Caenorhabditis elegans: one gene and its partner. The protein of the gene in region 1 purifies or fractionates together with the protein of each later gene. This does not show direct contact. Each region holds a gene or a part of one and is shown on either strand. Other genes may lie near its edges.

The links.
Region 2: the proteins of Y39G8B.10 (region 1) and Y116F11B.6 fractionate together in Caenorhabditis elegans (co-fractionation; one large-scale study listed by BioGRID). This does not show direct contact.

The regions. Positions count from the first base shown.
Region 1 is NC_003280.10:13,981,429-13,985,230, forward strand, and holds Y39G8B.10 (ShKT domain-containing protein), read right to left. Parts: upstream 1,688-3,802; 5' UTR 1,620-1,687; coding exon of another isoform or gene 1,587-1,619; 5' UTR 1,582-1,586; coding exon 1,502-1,581; intron 1,460-1,501; coding exon 1,274-1,459; intron 842-1,273; coding exon 685-841; 3' UTR 620-684; downstream 1-619. Other genes in the region: Y39G8B.9 (ShKT domain-containing protein), read left to right, coding at 1-75, 130-322; sre-47 (Serpentine Receptor, class E (Epsilon)), read right to left, coding at 1,969-2,442, 2,540-2,898, 2,938-3,223.
Region 2 is NC_003283.11:19,842,074-19,848,217, forward strand, and holds Y116F11B.6 (BZIP domain-containing protein), read right to left. Parts: upstream 3,905-6,144; coding exon 3,695-3,904; intron 3,404-3,694; coding exon 3,340-3,403; intron 3,231-3,339; coding exon 3,165-3,230; intron 3,119-3,164; coding exon 3,060-3,118; intron 2,520-3,059; coding exon 2,130-2,519; intron 882-2,129; coding exon 774-881; intron 730-773; coding exon 559-729; downstream 1-558.

The DNA of each region.
Region 1 (3,802 bases):
ACAAAATCTTCTGGAGAAGCTCCTCCAAAAGCCTGACGTGGATACCTGTGCAACAGCTAAGGATCTTGGACCAAAGTGAGTTTTATTTGTGGAATTTTGATTGAAATTTCCTTATTCCATACCTTCCAGCTGCGTAAACTGGGCTCGCAACGGATTCTGCACAAATTGCCAATGGACATGTGCTCAACGCAAGCACTACTGCGAACGTACCTGTGGATTCTGCCATCCGGATTATGTATGCAATGAGCAGTGCTTGACACAAGCGCCACGGATAATGAAAGAGCTTTCTAAGGAAGAAATTGAAATGTTGAATCGGCAATGATGTGTTTTTGATTTGAATAAATAACTCTCAATTGTATACGATCTAAATTTTCTTTCAAAAAGCTCTATGCACTGCGAATCTGGGAGTCAGACTGACTGGTGGTGCTCCAACTGAGCTCTAGTGTAAGTCATGCCCCAGCCGGCCAGATAATCCAGTCGTGGAGTGCACCACTAGGCTGGCTGAAGGTCGACGGTCGGAAATTACTTGTCGTTACGAAATGAGGCAGATTGCACTGCAAAATCATCATTTTTCCCCCTTCATTCAGTCAGTGAGCATTTGAACTCATAATCAACACCTTATAGATAACAATAGTCTTATTCATCATAGAGTTTAAATACACATTATATCAAAAATTCAAGGGATTACAAGTCATCGAGGCTTAAAAATTGATTCGCCGCATTACCATCCTTGCAAGATCCGGGGGAACAATATCCGCATGTCTTTGGGCAGTACTTGATGCGATCCGAACATTTGTACCAGTCGTTGTTGCAGAATCCATTCTTCGCCCAAGCGTGGCAGCTGGAAAATTATAGGAATTGTGGTGAGGAGAAGATTGGATTAGTTTCCGAGACCCCCCGAGAGCTCCGGGATCTCCGAGACCTCCATGACCTTAAGGACATCCGAGGCTTCCGAGACGTCTAAGCCCTCCAGAACCTTGATGACCTCCGGGAACTGGAAGGCCTCCGAGGTCTCCAGGACCTCACACACCTTCGAGACCTCCGAGATCTCTGTGACCTCTGATACCTCCGAGACCTCCGAGAGCTCGAAGATCTTCGAGACCTCGACGCTTTCCGAGACCTCCGAGATCTCCAAGGGCCCCATGACATCCGAGACCACCAAGATCTCCAACATCTCTGAGACCTCCGAGACCTCCAAGGACCTCCAAGGCCTTTAAGACATCCGGAAACTCCAACACCCCCAAGACCTACAACGGATTACGCCTAAACTTACAAATCCCCATAGTCCTCGCACTTGATCGTCACAGCCGATGGTGGTGGCGTTGTCGTTGTCACCGTACAATTTTCACAAGTCTTCTGTCCAGCACAGTATTCACAAGTTTTTGCGCAATACTGCTCTCGCTGCTCACAAGTGTAGAAGCAATTTGTGCAGAAGCCATTTTTAGCCCACCCTGAGCATCTGAAAATGGACTACTTCATATATCTTGGTTCCCAAACTCACTTATCACTGGTATCCTTACACTCGTCGGCCGCATCAATTTGTGAGCACAATACAAGAAATGCTAGTATGAAGAACTTCATAATTTTCAGAGCCGTAGAGTTAGATTATAGAGTTGCAAAAAGTGTTGTAAAATATAGAACATAGTAAAGTTGAGCACAAAAACGTGCATTATCAGCTGCCATACTCATTTTGTAATCCCTTTGTTCTTCAAGAGTGATAAGCGGTGGGGTGTGTGTAGAGTAATGTTTGATTACATGAAGAATTTCAACAAAAAAAAAGTTTTGATAAAATTATTTGGGTTTTGTAATTGTCACAGTCAACAGATTCACCGAAATTGTTTGAAAGGTAGAAGTAACAATATATTAAAAGTAACTGTGACGTTTTTGAATACATTTTTTCTATTTTGTAAATTGGACGGGCTAACTCGATCACAGAACAATCTAAGAAAGTGTACAGAAATCTTTATTTCAAATCCAAGACGCCGCCAGCTGATTAAAATAAGTCTCCGTTTCCTTCCGAATTTCATCGTGTTTCACCGAAAAACTTTTTTTCTGCACCGGCATCATATCCACAGCCCCGTGCCCGACTTTCAGCTTCTCCCAAAAATAAGTAACCGACAAAAAGTGATAGCTCCTGAAAGACTCCACGGAATAGATGATAGCAGGACACACTACCAACGGCGGCAGGTTTATCATAGCCTGCATGACAAGGTTAAGCATGGTGTCCAATTCTGGTAGAATATGGAAATATAAGGATAGAGCTGTAGCAAAACCGACAATTCCGATACAAAGTGCGAATATTACGATTTTCCAGATCATTTCAAAACACTTCATGTTCTCTTTGGCCTGAAATCTCGCTGCAAGGGTGTAGTTGGATTGATGGGCGTAGTCTTCGTGGATTTTCGTGATTTTTTGGTTGTAGTGGCGGGAGTAGAGCATTAGCTAGAAGAAAAAAGAAAATAAGACTTTGTGCTGCAGCCGACGCTTGGCGGGCCCGGAAGGTGTCAGCCGCTAGTTTATTAATTTATTTAGAACTTACCATCACAGCACCAATATTCGAAATTGCAATGATACTAATACCAAACACATATGACAGATAATTGAAAAAGAACACAATTGAAAATATCATAGTAAAAGTTTGACTGAAAAAAATTATCAGTAAAGCGATCCAAGTTCTCGATTTGTTCTCATAATCCTCTAGGAAATAACTGGCACAGGATCTTTCTACAGACACTATCAGAAGAATATTCGACATGGAAAGCCCAAAGTGTATTTTCAAAAATCCAGCGATGAAAAATAAAACATCATGGTTGAAACTGTCCACTTTTATCATTTCTGATGGGTTTTCAGTCCACCATTGCTGCATAGTTGAGTTCAATAAAGATTTTTCTGTTAATTCTGAACAAAAAATTTTTCCAACCAGATGTTTTCCCTTACCTTCCAGCGTCCAATACCCCGTCTCATACGGCCAACTAATAATCTTCCCGATCAATACTTCCAACCATTGAAAAATCAATAAAACCGCCAAAACTGACAAGTTCTTGTGAAAAACTCTCACTTTAACGAGCAAATAAGCACATCGAAATGCAAAATAAAAAGTCAGGAAAAATAGGAGAAAATCCAAAACTGAAAGTAGAAGACCAGGAAATTCTACGAGTTTAAAATTCTGCAGAATGTATATCGGCCAGCAGATTGTAGTAAGATTTGCGATTAGGAAAATCATTGGGGAATGGAAAAAGGCAACGTTATGCATTTGTGACAAATTTGTTTGCCTGAAAAATGACACCTGCTTGCTCGGATTGGTTTGATAGCTCAGAGCTGAAAGACTGATCATGATTAATTACTTTAGCCCAGGACTGAGCAACTTTGAAAATTCCCAAAATTACCGAATACCGGACATTATTTTAGGGTTTCTTTTTCAAACGAAAGCAAACGAAAAATAGATTGTCAGACAAAAGAATAGATTGACAGACGAAAAATAGATTGACGGACTAAAAATAGTTAAAATAGTTCGTCTGTCAATCTATTTTTCGTCTGTCAATCTATTTTCGTCTGTCAATCTATTTCTTCGTCTGTCAATCTATTTTTCGTGTAACAATCTATTTTTTCGTGTAACAATCTATTTTTCGTCTGTCAATCTATTTCTTCGTCTGTCAATCTATTTTTCGTCTGTCAATCTATTTCTTCGTCTGTCAATCTATTTTTCGTCTGTCAATCTATTTCTTCGTCTGTCAATCTATTTTTCGTCTGTCAATCTATTTCTTCGTCTGTCAATCTATTTTTTCGTGTAACAATCTATTTT
Region 2 (6,144 bases), on another chromosome or scaffold:
AAAATGAGAAAAAAAGCAAAATAATATCATTAAAGGTGGAGTAGCGCCAGTGGGGATTTTGCTATAATGCACTAATAATGATCCAAAACAACCAAATATCAAAATAAAACACTCCAAAAAATTAAAAAATTTCATAATTTCCGGTCAAAGTTTTGGCAAATTGGCAAAATTTTGAAAAATATGTGCTTTTGAGGAAATTTAAAGAAATTTCGCATGCTCCGACCCCTACAATGTTTTAATACAATTAATTTAAACATAATTAAAGTATAAAAACGTCGAAAAAAAAATTTTTTTTTTGGTCGATTTCCATAATTATGAGTGGCAAAAACTGAGTAATTGCCACTTTTTGACAGTAAATGAAAATTTTTCAAAATTTTTTTTGACAAGTCTTATCATGATATTTGGTCATTTTGGGACCAAAGGAGTGGTTTTTAACAACTTCCCCACTGGCGCTACTCCACCTTTAAGATTAAGGATTTTATCAAAGGAATATAAAATGTGTATATTTCAATTACGTATGATGAATTTTTAATTAGGTGTGTATTTTCAATTTTTCGACTACGATGGATATTTTTGGAATAGAAGTAAGAGTTCACGTAATTTGTCGTTGTCATGTGCTCTAGCCCGTAAAAAATATCCGTAGTTTCTAACTAGAAATCTAAGATCCGAATCAAACGCGTCCCAGAACTCCTTGAAGCGGGTAGCAATTCTTTGTTGTTTCCATATCTCCTGAAAAATGTTATATATTTTTGAGGATTTGAGAATTCACTTACAAATTCCAATACCCGCGTATTGAATTTTTTCTCCAATAGATTTGTTTTTGTCTTCGTACGAGACCAATGGCTCATGTATGTTCCTTCCCTCTTGTTTCCTTTTTTAGCCTGAAAACTGCTTCTTAAGTGAACTAATCAAAATAGTATTTAATTCTAGAGTATCACACAATAAAAAACAAAAAACGATCAATTTGGTACTTCAGAATGCTTGACTAGTTGAGAAAGATGGACTAGAGCCAATTGGGACAAAACTGAATTCCATAGTATTGTATTTTTTAATCGAGTTGGGTCATAAAATGAATGAATTAGAACGCAGAGCCTAATGTTTAATTTTAAAAAAGAAAGGAAAATAATTAAGTGTACAAGAAGGGAAAACAAGAATGGGACTAAATATAGTTCAGGGGTAATGTTTTTTTTTAAATTTGTATTCAAAAATTATTTAATATCCTAATGAAACTTCTGAAAAAATCAGAGAATTTGATGTTTCGAGTCAGAAAGCAGTGAAAACTGAGCTTGCACAAATTTTTTTGGCGGTTCAAAACTTCGAAAAAATTACAAATCTCAAATTTTGCTTGTTTTTCTGTATCGCATCTGCCCAAAATGGACTAATTTGGAATTATCATTCTTTATGACATATTTTGGTAGTTTATCTCATTCACTTTCGTTTCTTAAAGTGGTACTTGTGTATTACATGCCCACATTTTGAAATTAAATTAAATTTTCATTAATTTCTCCAATTAAAATAAATGTGATATACATTTTTCCTCTTCAGGCTTACAAAAGGTTATTTCCTAAGCCTAGAAATACGAAAATGTGGTACACGTTTTCATTGTTTTTAACTTTAAAAGTTATTAAAAAAATGAGGGCAGGTAATACACAAGTACCCTAAAAGTTTATTGAAAGCCGATAGGTAACCAATTTTGGTTATTTTCCTTACCTTTCGGCTTTAGATGTATAAAACGAGACTAAATGAGACAATTCATGAAATTCTACTTTTTTTCCTATTTTAACACAAAAAAGTGACCAAAATTCGAGATTTATGCTAAAATCATTGTAATTTTTACAAAATTTTAAACCATTACTACGAAATTCGCTTATTTTAGCTCATTTTTGGTCCGTTAAGCACAATTAAACGATGAAAATGGATTAAAAATATTTTTTTGATTGACCACTCAAAAACTTGTGAAAAGTTCATGGGTTAAACGTGTAGAGATTTTTTAGTAAAATTTTTTCGAAATGCTGACTTTAGTTCCATAAGAGTGGTTTTAATTATTTCCTCATTGACCGTATTTTGTCTTTAGTGGTTTGCAATAAGACATAGTTGAATATAAACAATTTTACAAAAAAAATGCTCACCAGTTCCTTCCTGTTCAAATATTCTTGGTGTGCCTCTTTCAGCTCTTTTCTAGATTCTTTCAGATTTTTCTCGATTTTTTTCAGTTTAACATCCTGCTTCTTAATGTTCTCAACGTCCTCAATGATACGAATTTTATCATTTTCAAAGTGTTCCAAACACCCGTTAACTTCTTGATAATTTCGAATAATCTCGTTATTATTGATACAGGGGTGTAAAACCGACTCAACCGCTGTTTTGAAAAGCGAATCATTTGAATTGTTGTATGCACACAATTGTTCGTGGGTAATCTTTTTCGTCTCGTAAATTGCTTGCGTTTTTCTCATTAATTCTTTTTCCAGACGTCGAGACTTTGCAGCGGCAATTCTGTTTCTCTCTCGTTTTGTTTTAGCCTGGAAATTGTATTTTTAAATTAAAAGAATCCACTGTTTCCAATTCCGATTTAGCAACCATCTGAAGTACAATTTCTCAGCTGGAAACACTTTAAAAACTCAAAATTTTGAACTAACCAAGTAAACGAATAACATCTAATACAGGATTTACCAAGGAGTAAAAAAGTTGCGTTTTCCGAATTGGGGGTCGATTTTTCGATTTTCAACTAAGATAAACCAAAGTTTTTTGTTTGTTGAATTTTCGATATTTATGTTGAAGAAAGTTATGTTTTCTTATTTTTTTCATCAACATAAACAAAATTTGATCGACATAGAATTTTATTGTTCATTTATAAATTTTTTTTTCGATTTTCCGATTTTGCAGATAATCGAGAAATTGAAAATATTGTGTTTTTTCGATTTTTTCCAAAAAAAATTTTTTTTTAACATTTTACTGTTTTGGAGTCATTTGAAAATATTTCCCAGATTTCGGTACTTCACCTTTAAGTGAATGCGGTCATTAAAAAAGTGTCTAAGTGCCAAAAAAGCCTGAAAATTTACCTTTCCTGATGGGATATTGGACTGTGCTGCTTGTGACATTTTATCATCTTGGTTGATGCCTATAAACGTTAAATTGCGGAAAAAGGTTTAAAAAATATTACTCACCATATGAAACATTTTCATTTTCGGTTATTGGTGCCATCGGCATCCATGAATCTTCGAAATGGTTCTCTTAAATTAAATTTTATTGAAAAATTTAAAAATTGAATAAAAGGTACTTGATCTCCAAATACTGTTGTTGCTAATACTGAAGATCAAGCGACTACTCTAAAAAATATACCTTTGTTCATGTTCGAGTTGTGTAAACCGCCATCGCGAATTAGAGGGAATAATTCTTGTGAGTTCTGAAAAAAACCCATTTTGAGATTTTGGAATCAGAATCTAGCCGAACTTTGATTTTCAGGCCCAAAATGGCGTGAAGCTATTAAATTTCGTAATAACAATTTTCAAAAGAAGTTATAGCGGTACAAAATTTTGAAAAAAAGCTAAAATCTCGCATTTTACCAATTCGACAAAGTCAGAACTTGCGGTAGTAAATTTTCTTGTTTTTTTTGGAGAAATTTTGTGAACGTCTCATTACGAAATCTGATATTTATCGATTGTTTCGGGTTTAAGGTATTCCACCTTTAACTAACCTGTTGCTGGAAAACTTCGTCATAGTTGCAATTGTTGTCATAAAAAATTGGTACTGGTCCAGGGTAGTGTGGCTTGTCCCCTGCCTGAAGACCGTTCAAAATGTGAGGAGCTTGCGCAGAGCTTTCAAGGAATGCAGCCAGTTCATCAAAATGGATTAGTTGTTGGTTTTGTGCAGATCCTTGCACGTGACTTGATAGTTGAGGAAGCATGGATGAAACAAAAAGTTCTGAAAATTAAGAAATTGAACTTAACCGTGAGGGAGCTTTATACAAGAAATCAGAAGTTTTAACGAGGGAAGGCAATCTGAATTTCAGGATATTTGCAGGAAAAGTGATTTTATATGTTTTTAACAGTTTGCAAATGTTCGCATCAATATTTAGAAATGTTTTTTCTCAAAAATTCAGGAAAAAAATTCAAGAGGAGTTTTTGGGCTTTCAAAACGACTTTCATTTTTTATCGAATGAAAACACGAATTTCGAGTTAAACACTGAAAAAGGCAACAAAAAAATGTGTCGTCAAATTAAATGCTGGGTACGCAAACAACTAACTTGGAGCCCAATGTGCTTATCAGTGCAATGAAACGCGGCACATGTTTGGTGAAATGAAGATTCTGAATGTGGGCAAAGGAAGTCACGTCAAATGTGGAAGGCTGCATTTTTTAGATAACAGAGGCAGGAATGCAATATTCAATTTTAATTGGCTGAGCAAATATGGAGATAGAGGTATAGCGGTGAGGAAATGATAGCCGACGAAGGCGTTTATCTATTTTCTAAAAACGCCATGTTTGGTGAAATGAAGATTCTGAATGTGTGCAAATGAAGTAACGTCGACAGGGGAAGAAGTGTAACATTACATAGATAACAGAGCCGAGAATTTAATTTTCAATTTTAATTGACTGATAGTAGGCAAAGATAGAGGCGGAGAGGTGAGGAAATGATAGCTGACGAGGGCGTTTATCTATTTTCTGAAAACGCCAATTATCGCTATTTTTTTTTAGAAAATTGATAACTCGTTATACAACAAAACAGAACAAGCAATGACAGGAGGGAACGGAAATGCCTTCTATCTTTCGCCGGATGGGAGCCAGGGGTATGCGGGTAATAGCCGGTTTAGTCGAATTCGCCGATGGGCTGATTAGACTAACTCGGCTAATATTAACCGAATTATCCGTTAGCCGAATATTTTCCGAGTTAGCCGAATTTGCCGAAAATTAGCCGATTTCACTCATTGGGTTTAGCCGAATTATCCGTTAGCCGGTTTTTTAAAAATCGGTTATCCGCACACCCCTGATGGGAACCCTATCGTCATCAGTGTAGTCCATCCGCAAAAACGGAGATAGAGACGAAGCGATGAGGAAATCATAGCTGATAAGGGTTTATGTGTTTTTTAAACGCGAATTAGCGCTTTTTTTTTGAAAATTGATAACTCCTTTGAACGAAACAAAACAAACAACGACAGATGGGAAAATAAATGTTTTCTTTCAAATGTCCTAATGAATCAGCAATTTGAAAATATATTCGAAAAATACAACACAACTTTGAAAAAGAGTGTTGTCAAATTTTAAGAATTTCTGCCAAACCTTTCTCGAAAATCAACCGAAAACTCTCAAACAATAAATGCGTATCATTTGAAAATTAAAAACTATAGGAACGTTTTGGAAGTAAACTGTATACATATGTGCAGCCACGGCCAAAAAGGTATGAAAAGACAGTACTACATATGCACAAAAACCCAAATAAGTGACTAAGAAACTCCAGCATCGTATATAGGATCTACTCTAAACATGGCATCAAACTATTCCTTGAAACATACAACACTCCTATTTTTCTCTTGAATTATAAACTTTTTAGTTAAAAGAAATTTCGTTTTTGCTAATTTTGGTTCTGCACATGGCCATTTAAATTAGACATTTGGAATTTCAACATTTTCAGTTAAATACTGACTTGTCTGAACCATTTTTTCTAAAGCCAGCTCAGTTCCGTCTGCGAATCCTCTTCCAATGTGAAAATACACAGTTTGAGGAGTTCATAGTAGTACTATCAACAACTCTAGAAATTCCAGTGAGCCATGGCTGGCTCCAGAAAGAAATATTTTGGAACTTCCAACTTTAAGCTTACAAAGTCGGATTTTCGAAATTATTTCAGTATTCCTAGGTAGAATACAGTTCAAAGTCACTGATAAACAACAATTCTGAATTTTAGATATTAGATTCCACAAATTACATCCCTGATGCCAAATATCCTATTTGAAACTGTATCGCCAATAATTTCTCAAAAACCGCAGAAAATATTTTCGAATAACATGTTCAGGGTGTTCACAAATATCGATATACCAATTTCTAACATTTTCATTTTGGTTTATGTTTTACTTTTTCAGAAAACTACTTTTTTAGATAGTTTCTCTACTTTTAACAGACGAAAACGAGATAGTATTGCAAAAAAAAAGAGAC